3 linked regions of the Cricetulus griseus genome follow. The protein of the gene in region 1 purifies or fractionates together with the protein of each later gene. This does not show direct contact. Links are inferred from orthologs where the notes say so. Each region holds a gene or a part of one and is shown in the gene's direction. Other genes may lie near its edges.

Region 1 (3,444 bases):
CACCCAAAAGCCATTATTTCCCTGAGTTCTTTCCTGTCTGCCCTTCATGGTTGACATACTAGTCTCTGCCAGTTTTGTTTCCTGGCACATTCTGGTAAGCTTTGTCTTAAGTTTGTCCCTGAGTATTTGCTACTCTGCAAACCCTGAGAAATGTATTGGCTTTTCCCGGTGTGAGTAGTTAGGCTGTTCTTTGTTAGATAAGTGAAGGTCAAGGACTAGCAGCTGCAGAGTCCTTTCTTACTATCTGCAAAACTTTTCTTTGTAAAATTGTTGTTCTTTGTTCCCTGTAATAATGTTGTCCTTCCTTCCTTCTAAATACTGGCTGTTTCCCGGCCTGTTAGCCAGTGTTGTCCCAGTCCTTTTATCTTATTAAAGCAAGACAAGACAAAATGTGTATAGTTTGACTTGACGCTGCCACTACCATCAGTCATCTAGTTATGCTTTGACTATCCCATCTAGTTATACCTTCACTATCCCCTACTGTGATTGTGATTCAGTGTCAGAGCACTTGCCTAGCATGCTCCAACCCTTCAGTTCAGTCAGTCCTCAGCTCTGGGGAGGAGAAAATTCCCTTTTGTTCCTTGCTTTGTTCTGGTGTAGATTTCATTCTGAACCTTAAAATTGTCTTTTTTTTTTTACTTGGAAATTTGAACTTTTCACTCTTCTACTGTTTTGTTTTAGAAACCAGCCTTTAAAATCCCAGTGTTTGGGCTGTAGAGATGGCTTATTGGTTAGCAGTACTTCTTTTGCAGAGGACCCACATTGCAATTCAGTTCCAGGAGGATCTGACGCTCTCTTCCGGCCTTCACAGGCACTGAATGCACATCTATCTACACATCAATGTTTTGTTTAATTCCAGTGTTTATAAATTGTTATAGTTGTAAAACTATGAATTATAACATTGGTTCTCTGTTTTCTTCTAGTATGGTTATCAAAAAATAATAATAATCTCAAAGAAATTTTGCGCTTCTGTGATTTATATCTCATCCCATAAATATTTCCCTTTCTTGCATCTTTGCTTCTCTCATGTAGTCTGCAGGCAGCAGCATTCTCCTCTCTAACCTCAGAGGCTTTTCACTGGCGCTCGACTAGGTTCAGCTCTCACAGTCCCAGGTGTCACTAACTTCATCTTTCTACTTCGTGGAGAACCACCTGCTCCCAGTTTTGTCACCCTTCATCACACTAAGATTTATTTATTATAGCCATGTGGTGGTGGTGACGCACGCCTTTAATCCCAGAGGCAGGCCAATCTCTGAGTTTAAGGCCAGCCTGGTCTATGGAGCGAATGCCAGGGCAGGCTCCAAAGTTACATAGAGAAACCCTGTCTTGAAAAACCAAAAGAAAAGAAAAGATTTATTTATTATGTATACAGTGTTCTGCCTGAAGGCCAGAAGAAGGCACCAGATCCTTATAGATGGTTGTGAGTCATCATGTAGTTGCTGAAAATAGCCCTCTGAGCTAGCCCTCATCACAGTCTCGATAGGTTTTGTTGGTTTGTTTGTTTTTTTGCCAGTAGCTGTCATTTGTAAGTGTATTGCCTGGAAGACAGTATTTTATATAATGTGGCTTTCCCATATTTCTTTGAAAAATTGACTGTTGAGAGATTATCAATCTGTTTGCAGCTATCATGAGAAACTCAATTGATATGTCACTAATGGTTACACACTGGGATTCTTGGATTCTTTGTAATGGTGAAGTTGCTGTGAATATTCTAATGAGTGGCTGTTTGTTTTCTGCTCAGTTTATTCTCTCTGCTCAATGTCAAAGAAATACTATATCCATAAATTTTATTCATGCTCATTTGAATAGTTGACCTGATTTCTAAACAATGTGATTTTTTTAATCATTTTAGATTGTGTGTGCTTTTAAAGCCTGAACAAGGACGAAAATGTTCATGTAACTATTACTGCTTTCAAAATAATGGACCTCTGGGTGCATTAGATAGGGTACAGAATGTCGTGCAATCACAGCTTCACTGGTGACATGTATGTGCACACTACCATCAGGATGTGGCATATATATAACTTAACCATTCCTTGGTTTTCTCATCTGTCAAGTGAGGGGCTTATTACAAGGCCTGAGAAACAGTCTGGAACCCTACAAGGCTAAACAATGGCTATTAGTAATAACACCTATGAACCTTTTGTCTTTCAGATTCTCTTATAACAGTAGGCGAGAACTTGGTACCTCTTCCAGTCCAGAGTGGGGCTGGTGAAAGGCTTTTTCCTTCTCCAAAACTTACTTTGCAAGACAGACTATAATGAGACAGCAAGCTGTCACCAGCAGAAGAGACTGAGACCTTTATCAACAAAGGTGAATTAACTGAGCGGGTATTTGTGGTTCTCATTTACCCCCAAACTTCCTGGGTCTAGGTGTCTTCCAAGTAGGCCTCTAATTCCTGCCTTTGCTGTGTGCACATCTGTCAGCCAGAAAGCCTATGAGGTGAAATGTACAAAGCTCACACTGTATAGACTGGGTGAGAAAGATGCTGAGGAGAGAGTATAGGCCTCAGAGGGGGCGGGCTTAGCCTTTTCCACAGAGCCAAGGGTCCTTTACTTCAGGCTGACTCTAGGTCATCTCTGGGGAACATCTCAGCCACACCTGGACCTCAGGACACAATCCTTCTGTGCTAGCTTCTGCCCTCCTCTTCATTCTCCGGTTGCTCTATTACATTCTTCAGCTTAGGCCCTGACTGTCTGCCCTGGTAGCTTTCTGTAACATAATAAGTAATCTGTAATGAAGTCTGCAAAGTACTCTTGATGTTTTTGTCTTTGTAATAGTTAACAAATAAATCTAGGTTTTCTATACCATTGTGGTTTTGTTCTTGACTAAAACCATTAATGAGAAAAAATTCAGATTTATTATTATTTTATGTGTATGAGTGTTTTTCCTGTGTGTATGCATGTATAACGTGCATGCCTAGTGCCCATGGAAGTCTGAAGAGGGTGTTGTTACCACTGGAACTGGAGTTAACAGGCACTTGTGAACTGCCATGTGGGTGCTGGGAATTGACCCTAGGTCCTCTACAAGAGCATCAAGTATTTTTAACTGCCGAACCATCTTTGCAGCCCAGTACTTGCTATTCTTTGGAGGACCCGAGCCCAGTTCCTCCAAATCTATCGGGCAGCTCACTGCTGCTATAATGCCAACCTCTTCTGGTTTCCATGGGCACTCAGATAAACATGCAAAGACATACACCCATACACATAAATAAGTAATAAAGTGATGCTGGGGCTGGGGCTGTAGATTAGTTGCTAGAGTGCTGGTCTAGCTACAGGAAGCCCTGGGTTTAGTTCCTAGCATTTTATAAACTAGGCCTGGTTGTATATGCCTATAATCCTAGCACTCAAGAGGTAGAAATGGGAGGATCAGAAACTAAAGGTCATCCTCAGCTAGGTATCACATAAATACAAAAGTAATATATTAATACTTGGGGGCTAGAGA
Region 2 (3,409 bases), on another chromosome or scaffold:
AAGGCAGCATGACATATGGACTCTGAGAACGGGAGGATGGGAAAGCGCTACCTTCGAGGTGTACACACTCTTGTCAACACACTTCAGCACTACATGAATTAGAGCAGTTTTGTTTAGCTTTGGGGGACATAATTTTTTCCTAGTAGATTGGATTCCTCATGGATCCAGCTCCCTTATTCTCGGCATGATTAGAAATCATTGGGCCACTTAGCAAGCAGCTTTGCTGTTTAGGGAATTATGTGGGTATGACTGCATATGGTAACAGCTTGTAGTTAAAGTAATAAGTATCCAGTAATTGTCACAGCACACAGTAACTTGCTTATCCTACCTTACAAAAGGAAACTGGTGCTCTGGGTGGTGAACTTGTCCATATCTCGAGGAACTAAGATTCATGCAAATCCAGGACTGGCATATCAAAGCCTAAGGTTTTTGTTGTTCTTTTCTCTCCTAAGACAGGGTCTTTCTATGTAGCTCTGGCTGTTCTAGAGCTTATTATTTAAATCAGGCTGGCCTTGAACTCAGATAGATCCTCCTGCCTCTGCCTCCTGCATGCTAGTATTAAAGGCGTGCTTGACTGTGGACAGCCTGAAGTGTATGTTCTTAACCATGGTAACATGCTGTTTCTTCAACAGGTGATGAGAATGGATCTGTCTCTCTTGTGGACACCAAGAATGCAAGCAGTACCCTCAGCTCAGCTGTGCACTCCCAGTGTGTCACTAGGCTGGTATTCTCTCCACACAGGTACTGTTTGTCATCAGGGGTTTGGAAGGGATGGGTTGGGCCAGTGGTGAGGGGTAGGAATGGAGTGATAAGGAATGTATCTATTGGCACAGCATTAGCTGGTTACATTGTTCCTTAGATGGAACAATGTAAGTACTCGAGCTTGGTCTTCCTAAGCTAGTCAGTACAGTTCTTATTAGGGTTGCATAGTCTAAAAACAGCTGAAATGTGATCTCATACCTGTTCAACACAGCTTGATTGATGTTAGGCTTCTGGCACCATGTGCTTAAGGAGCCTGATTCTGGGTAATTGCTAATGTAGAGAGGGACCCATTGGGTAGTTGGTTACCAGGGTGGTTTCTATGAGTACTGTCTCTGTTCCATTTTTATTGGAATTATAATGGCAGGAAGACCTTAACCCAAAGGTGGGTATCAGGCTGCCTTTTCCCCTGGCTCAGTTTATGGTGAGTTTGGGGCTGGTGCAGTCAGATTTTGGTTATGGAATCTAGGCTTTATCTTCTCTCCCCTTTGTTCCCTCTCCTAGTGCTCCCTTTCTGGCCTCTCTCAGTGAAGACTGCTCAATTGCTGTGCTGGATTCAAGCCTTTCTGAGGTGTAAGTTTGAAGTAGAACCCTGTGGTTAGGAATCAGGCATCAAGACCAATGGGCAAGCAGGTCTGTTTTGTCTTCAGGAACTTGCATGTAGAATTCTTCCTTTGTTGGGACTGGAGAAAAGCTCAGTAGTTAAGAATACTTCCTTTTGTTCCCAGCTTCCACATCCGTCTGCTCCCAGCTGTCTGTCACTCCAGATCGAAGGCATGTGATGCCTCTGCTTCTGTGGGCCTCTGCACTTGGGTGCACATACCCACTTACACATTATTAGAAATAAATAGAAGAAAATTCTCCATCTTTGTCTGTAGAGGTTCTCTCCATTTGTGTCTGTGTGTCTGCAGAGACTGAACACTGGAAGCAGTCTGATTGTAGGCTAAGTCTAGCTAGCATCCCAGCTTCACGGAGGGAACCCCTGCTGTGAAGTGAAACCTGCTATAGAGAGAAAGGCATGGGAAGGAAGACCCCGGTGTACATCTCTCTCTGCTATGACTTCCTGCTTGGTTGTAGATATACTACTTCTTTGCTCTGCATACTATTTCTTCCCCTAGGAAAGTAGACTGGATTGGATTGAACATCCACTGTCCTGGTGATAAGCTGTACAAATGGTGAAATGTTTAAAAACAATGTGTCCTGATTATGTTAGGTTTTCTTTCTGTCTTCTTCCCACCTCGGTTTTTGTGTTATCTCTTACCACACACCCACTTTTGTTCCAGGTTTAGAAGTCGAGCCCACAGAGACTTCGTGAGAGATGCTACGTGGTCTCCACTTAACCACTCCCTCCTTACCACAGTTGGCTGGGACCATCAAGTCATCCACCATGTTGTGCCCATTGAGCCTCTCCCAGCCCCTGGACCTGAGAATGCCTCAGAGTAGAATGGATTTCAGAAAAAAAAAAAAAAAATAGCCCTCCACCTGCAAGAATCTGCTTGCCTCTGCCTCCGTATTGTGAGAGCACAGGAAGGAGCCTTGTAGAGCATGTTACTCCCTAGTCCCGTGCAATAAACAGGCAGACTCTCAGCCTGAGGGAGGCTGCAGCCCATAGTGTCTAGGAGGGAAAACTTCCTTTATATAAATGGGTATATGTGTTCGAGAGAGCACATGTGTGTGAGTGTATTAAGTAGTTTGGGGTGGGGAAAATTATTCTTCAGCTTTCCCAAAGCACTGCTCTTTATTTCCCACAAAGTGAGAACAGTTTTATGCTTCCCAAGTCCAAGAATTGGATATGTTGTCTGGGATATGGAATGTGAGTATCCCTAGATTTGTGGGAGTGGTTCCACCACTCAGAGATGGGGTAACTTATTTTTATATAGAGTTTAATTCATTATGGGGAATACTTCAGTCCATAAAAGTCCAGCACAGTATACCTTGAGAAGACACAGAAATACCACAGTTTTGTACAAATCCATGTTAAACTGAATTTTCAGATCCATTTTCTTGGTGAATAAATTTGGCTGTTGCAATGTAGTTCTTGCTCACCCTTTGCCCTCCTCTGTGTTGTATGAGAGAGATGAGTGTTTTCCTGTCCTAGATTTCATAGAAAGTTTTAGGGATGATTGAACATTTAAAGGGGTTTCAGTGAAGTCAGAAAACTGACAGGGTTTCTTACAGAGAAATCTTTGTCATTTTTCCCACCTAAAGATACCCTGAGACCTGATTGCCTCTGGGCACCTTCCTCTGGAGATATGAAGTCTGAGTGCTGTATTTGTGAACTATTAAGATTTAAGATCCATCATTAGGGAAATTCTGAAATACTGAAATGTGAATTAAAGACTTGGGTCATGGCCTTTTCCCCCACCAAAGCTGTTGTTACTTTTTGTCTGCTTTACTTAGGTGAGTCACCAGGATGTTGTCAATTTTACTGCCGCTGTCTGTATTTTACCATTCCTGAAGTAGTTAGTTAAGGGAGAACTTAAACATTTATTTATACTTGGTGTTGGTGGTCTAGCCACTCCATTTAGAGTTCATGATAAATAACTGATTATATTGGAGCTGAGAGTGACTGGTGATAGATATACTTTGGAGTGTTTCAACTTTAGTTTAGGAGAAAGTAGGTAAGTGGGCCTCCTGAATTCTATATTTG
Region 3 (4,179 bases), on another chromosome or scaffold:
AACATACAGAAAGAGGAATCAGAAGAGCTTGGTAATTAACTCAGCCAACCATTTTTTAGAAGTTTGATTTCAACATCTTTGGGGATTATGATCCCACTTGGGCCCATTGGAGAACATAGGTTAAGGGAGGATAGTGAATTTCATTTCGGATACAATAAATTATGATACTTGATAATCAAAAGATGAGGACTTCATGGAAGTGGTGGGGGCTATAGGCTAGAGACAAAACTGGGAAGTTGTTGGTGTACAGACATAGGTTAGGAAGCATAGAAGCAGTAGAGCTCTTGTGAGAGCTTCTGGCCCCATCTTAAATTTAAATGTCTTAGTGCAGGCTGACACAATTGCCAGTGAACTTGGTGGGGGGGGTACAAGTATGCTATACAAACAGAAACATGAAAGTAGAATGGTGTTCAAGGGGGTGGGGTGCAGGCAGTATTCAGTGGATTCAGGAACAGGGATGGCAGGTGTCTTAAGAGCTGGTGGAGTGGAGGTTCCAGGAGCCAGATCAGAACAGGAAATTAGATGGAGACATTAACTTGCTGATAGCAAGTGGCCACTGCTTGTAGGTGACTCTGAAAAGGTGTGCTTGGAGCTGAAGAGCCTAGAGAAACAGTGCCGAGGAGAGTTTCTCATGGGGTGTGACTTGAAGAAAGAAAGTTACCTTTTAGAAGCCCTTGAAGCCATTCTGATCCCTGCCTTTCTTACTGCAGGGTTATTTGAGGATTTATTTAGTGATATATCCTCCCCAACCTCCATCCCTCATCTTCTATTTTGGTTTCCAGACCACTGCTGTCTTTGAATTCAGGTCCTTTTTACCCAGCTTAGGCTGTTACAAAGTCTAAAGATAGCATTTTGGCCTAATTGTGCTTTCCATGATGACGAAATTCCTTGACCAGTACAGTAGCAGTTAGTCTCACACAGCCCTGGACACAGGGAATGCCCTGACATGTGTCATGACCTTCAGTTTTATCCCATGCCTGATACTGTTTTAAACTTAAATAGGTCTGTATTGTGAGTAGACTGGGCAGTGCAGATTCACACAGTGCTTCTTAGTTGATACAGTGTGAGAGCTAACGAGGGGTTCTGTAGATGGTGATAGAAATGGCTTCTTAGTAACATACTTATTTCCGTTTTGAAGCCCTTCCTCATTTGGGTTTTGTATAGAAGATCTAAAAAACTGTATACCTCCTTACATTTCAATGCCTATACAATGTCCTGTTTAACCCTAAATACAGGCTGTGTTTAGTTTTTAATATCATTTTCAAGAAATACTAATGGAATCCTTTCTTGAAATAGCTACTTTGTCAAAATTTTGAATTTTAGTGCTACATTTCTGATAATTTTTCTCTTGGCAACTTTCTTTAAATGAAGATGTAGATTTTTGGAGACGTGTATTTCTAAAAAAAAAAAAAAATGACATTGAATTGACCTTAGTTTTTTGTGTATGTATACAATGTAATGCATATATTTATGCATCTTATGATATTCATGGAACTGTGTGATAGGTACTTTTGTCTACATTTTTATAGATAAGAAACCTAGGTAATTAGAGGGAAGGGAAAAAGTCCTTGCTGAGTGATGTGTGGTATAAATGGTAGTGTGGGATTTGAACCTAAGTAGTTTGGGCTGAACATACTGCCCTTCAAGTTAGCCCACTAACTGCTACTGTTCAACTTTCAGTTTTATATAGATCCATTTAAGCTGCTACCACTGCAGAGGTTTCTGCCTCGTCCTCCCGGTGAGAAAGGACCTCCCAGAGGCGGTGGTGGCGGTGGCAGGGGAGGTCGAGGAGGAGGAAGAGGAGGTGGTGGCCGAGGTGGTGGAAGAGGTGGTAAGTTATTTTGGGTTTCTAATAAGGTTTTGTAGCCATGTGTGATTTATACAGTGCAGTTTAGTTTTGCATGTAACCAGACTTCCCTTACCCTTATTTCTTTTACATATTGTCCATATCCATAGAAGTGCTTTGTTTCCACAGCTTAAGTAGGAGAAAAAATTAACTTTACCTTTGCAAGATTTCAGAGCCTTGGGTTATTTGTGTTTTAATGGAGATATTAATAGAGGCAGTCACCCATTGCTAAATGGCAGATACATTCTGAGAAATGCAGTGTTGGACATTTTTGTCGTGTACATTGACATAGATCCTCTTGTAGAGCTTGATTACTCAGCATGGCTTCTTAGTGTGGTGGAGAGTGGTAAGATGGAGGCTGATGCTGGTGAGATGGGGCAGGCTGCTTTCTGATCAGCCTTGTGAAAGGTTGTACTGACTATAGAAAGGGAAGTAAAGACACAAACTGGAAACAGTTGTTTTTAACTATTGTCAGGCATTGGGTGCTGTACACAACTATATATGCTGTACTCTTAGATGCCTAGGCTTATGTATTCCAATAGTGCTGTGAGCGTGCAAGTGATGGCTTGATCTACAATATGAGACAGTAGTTTTCCAGGTCCATTTTAATTTTAGGAGACTGATGTGTTATGCATGAAACATTATTATGTACTATATGACTGTGTAAGAATTTAACTTAATTGCGGTTTCTTAGTTATCAGCGAGTATTTTGATTATTCTTTTAATTTCTCCCAACGGCCTCCATGTGTGTGCCGTGGTAACACATACAAAAAGTAAATGTGAAAAACAGAAAAAGTAGTCATCTTGAGTTTACTCTACTGCTTCACTTGGGAACCTGCTAGTTCTTCATCTTTTAAAAGTTTCTGTAAAATACAATAGATGAACTTATAGTTTTTATAATTATAGGAATTGCACAATTTTTACAGCTTATCAGAAAATGAGAGGCTGTCATTATTTAACTCGTATTTCCTTTTTAAGGTGGCTTTAGAGGTGGAAGAGGTGGAGGTGGGGGCTTCAGAGGAGGAAGAGGAGGTGGTGGATTCCGAGGTGAGTAGGAGGATTTAAATAACTGCATTTGTAGATCGGTACTGTTGATTCCTTTCATGTTTTATTTCCCTCCCTACAAATATGGCAGACATTGGGGTGTTTGGGGCTTTAACTTACTTTATGGCTCCATTCTCTAACATTCTTTATTGATTTCTCTTAATATTTCACCAAATTACTTTGTATTAATACTGTGAAAAACAAAAAAAAATGAATATTATGAATAGCAATTGTGTTTGGTAATGTAAATGTATCAAACATTACAGGATCCTGTTGATGTTAAACCTGAGATTTGGGTACTAGCTCTGTTACAAGCCTTGATTTTTCCTTTGATCAGGAAGAGGACATTAGATGTGGCAGTTCCAAGACCTCACCACTTGTGTTTTTGCTTCGTGATCTGCTTCTGCTGGGATTGAAGTCTGTGTCTGGAGCAACCTGGAGGATGCTGCTGTGTCAGTGGAGCTGAATCGTCAGCATTGGGTAGAAACAAGTGGGGCTGAACAGGCAATGTTGCTCAGAAAGAGCATGAAGAACCCTGCTTTGTACAGTACCTGGCACTCTGTGGGTGCTTAAAGAACAACGGGACTTTTCATTTGAAGCACACTTGGCTTTTTTTAAATAAAATTTTTTATTTCTTTAACTTACTGTTTATTGAACCAAACCTGTTTTTTGAAATTTGGAGGAACAAGCAAAGCTTAAACTCATTGGATTACAGATAGAAAAAGTGGGGTACCATATATAAGCAAATGAACAACCCTCCTCTATCCCCAACAAACCAGACTGTCTTGGAACAGTACTTTAAAATTATTTCGAAATGAACTCCTCATTCAGAATGCCCTTTGAATAGGGACAGAACAGCAATGTTTGCTGTATTTCACTTTTGTGTTTTATAATACACAGAATAAAGCCGTTTTAGGAACTATAGTTTATAATTATTTTTAAATTATTATTTTGAGTCTATTAAGATTTGAGTAGCTCTGTTCGTGTTTTTACATGAGTTACTTATCTTCATTTTTTTTTTTAATTTATTTTATATGCATTGGTGTGAGGGTGTTAGATGCCCTGGCAGTCAAGTTACAGACAGTTGTGAGCTGCCATGTGGGTGCTGGGAATTGAAACCCAGTCCTCTGGAAGAGCAGCCAATGCTCTTAACCACTGAGCCATCTTATCTTCATTTTAAGTAAGTATTTGACTACCTATTACATGTTTCAATCCTGGGTAGGGACGCTATAAATGAAATTGGTTTTGGTCACCATTGCTAGTGTGCAGCCAAAAAATAAGCACGCCAG

The links.
Region 2: the proteins of Clns1a (region 1) and Wdr77 purify together in Homo sapiens (affinity purification with mass spectrometry; 6 studies listed by BioGRID and IntAct, with this or other methods). This does not show direct contact. The link is inferred for Cricetulus griseus from reciprocal best matches to the Homo sapiens genes CLNS1A and WDR77.
Region 3: the proteins of Clns1a (region 1) and H/ACA ribonucleoprotein complex subunit 1 purify together in Homo sapiens (affinity purification with mass spectrometry; 3 studies listed by BioGRID and IntAct, counting the BioPlex papers as one, with this or other methods). This does not show direct contact. The link is inferred for Cricetulus griseus from reciprocal best matches to the Homo sapiens genes CLNS1A and GAR1.

The regions. Positions count from the first base shown.
Region 1 is NC_048596.1:101,779,387-101,782,830, reverse strand, and holds the end of Clns1a (methylosome subunit pICln), read left to right. Parts: intron 1-2,154; coding exon 2,155-2,261; 3' UTR 2,262-2,808; downstream 2,809-3,444. UniProt on the Homo sapiens protein: Involved in both the assembly of spliceosomal snRNPs and the methylation of Sm proteins.
Region 2 is NW_023276806.1:51,042,227-51,045,635, reverse strand, and holds the end of Wdr77 (methylosome protein 50), read left to right. Parts: intron 1-632; coding exon 633-741; intron 742-1,263; coding exon 1,264-1,332; exon of another isoform or gene 1,333-1,392; intron 1,393-1,487; exon of another isoform or gene 1,488-1,624; intron 1,625-2,042; coding exon 2,043-2,202; 3' UTR 2,203-2,793; downstream 2,794-3,409. UniProt on the Homo sapiens protein: Non-catalytic component of the methylosome complex, composed of PRMT5, WDR77 and CLNS1A, which modifies specific arginines to dimethylarginines in several spliceosomal Sm proteins and histones.
Region 3 is NW_023276806.1:29,079,327-29,083,505, forward strand, and holds the end of H/ACA ribonucleoprotein complex subunit 1, read left to right. Parts: intron 1-1,680; coding exon 1,681-1,831; intron 1,832-2,824; coding exon 2,825-2,893; intron 2,894-3,227; coding exon 3,228-3,241; 3' UTR 3,242-3,535; downstream 3,536-4,179. Other genes in the region: visual pigment-like receptor peropsin, read left to right, coding at 4,033-4,070. UniProt on the Homo sapiens protein: Required for ribosome biogenesis and telomere maintenance. Part of the H/ACA small nucleolar ribonucleoprotein (H/ACA snoRNP) complex, which catalyzes pseudouridylation of rRNA.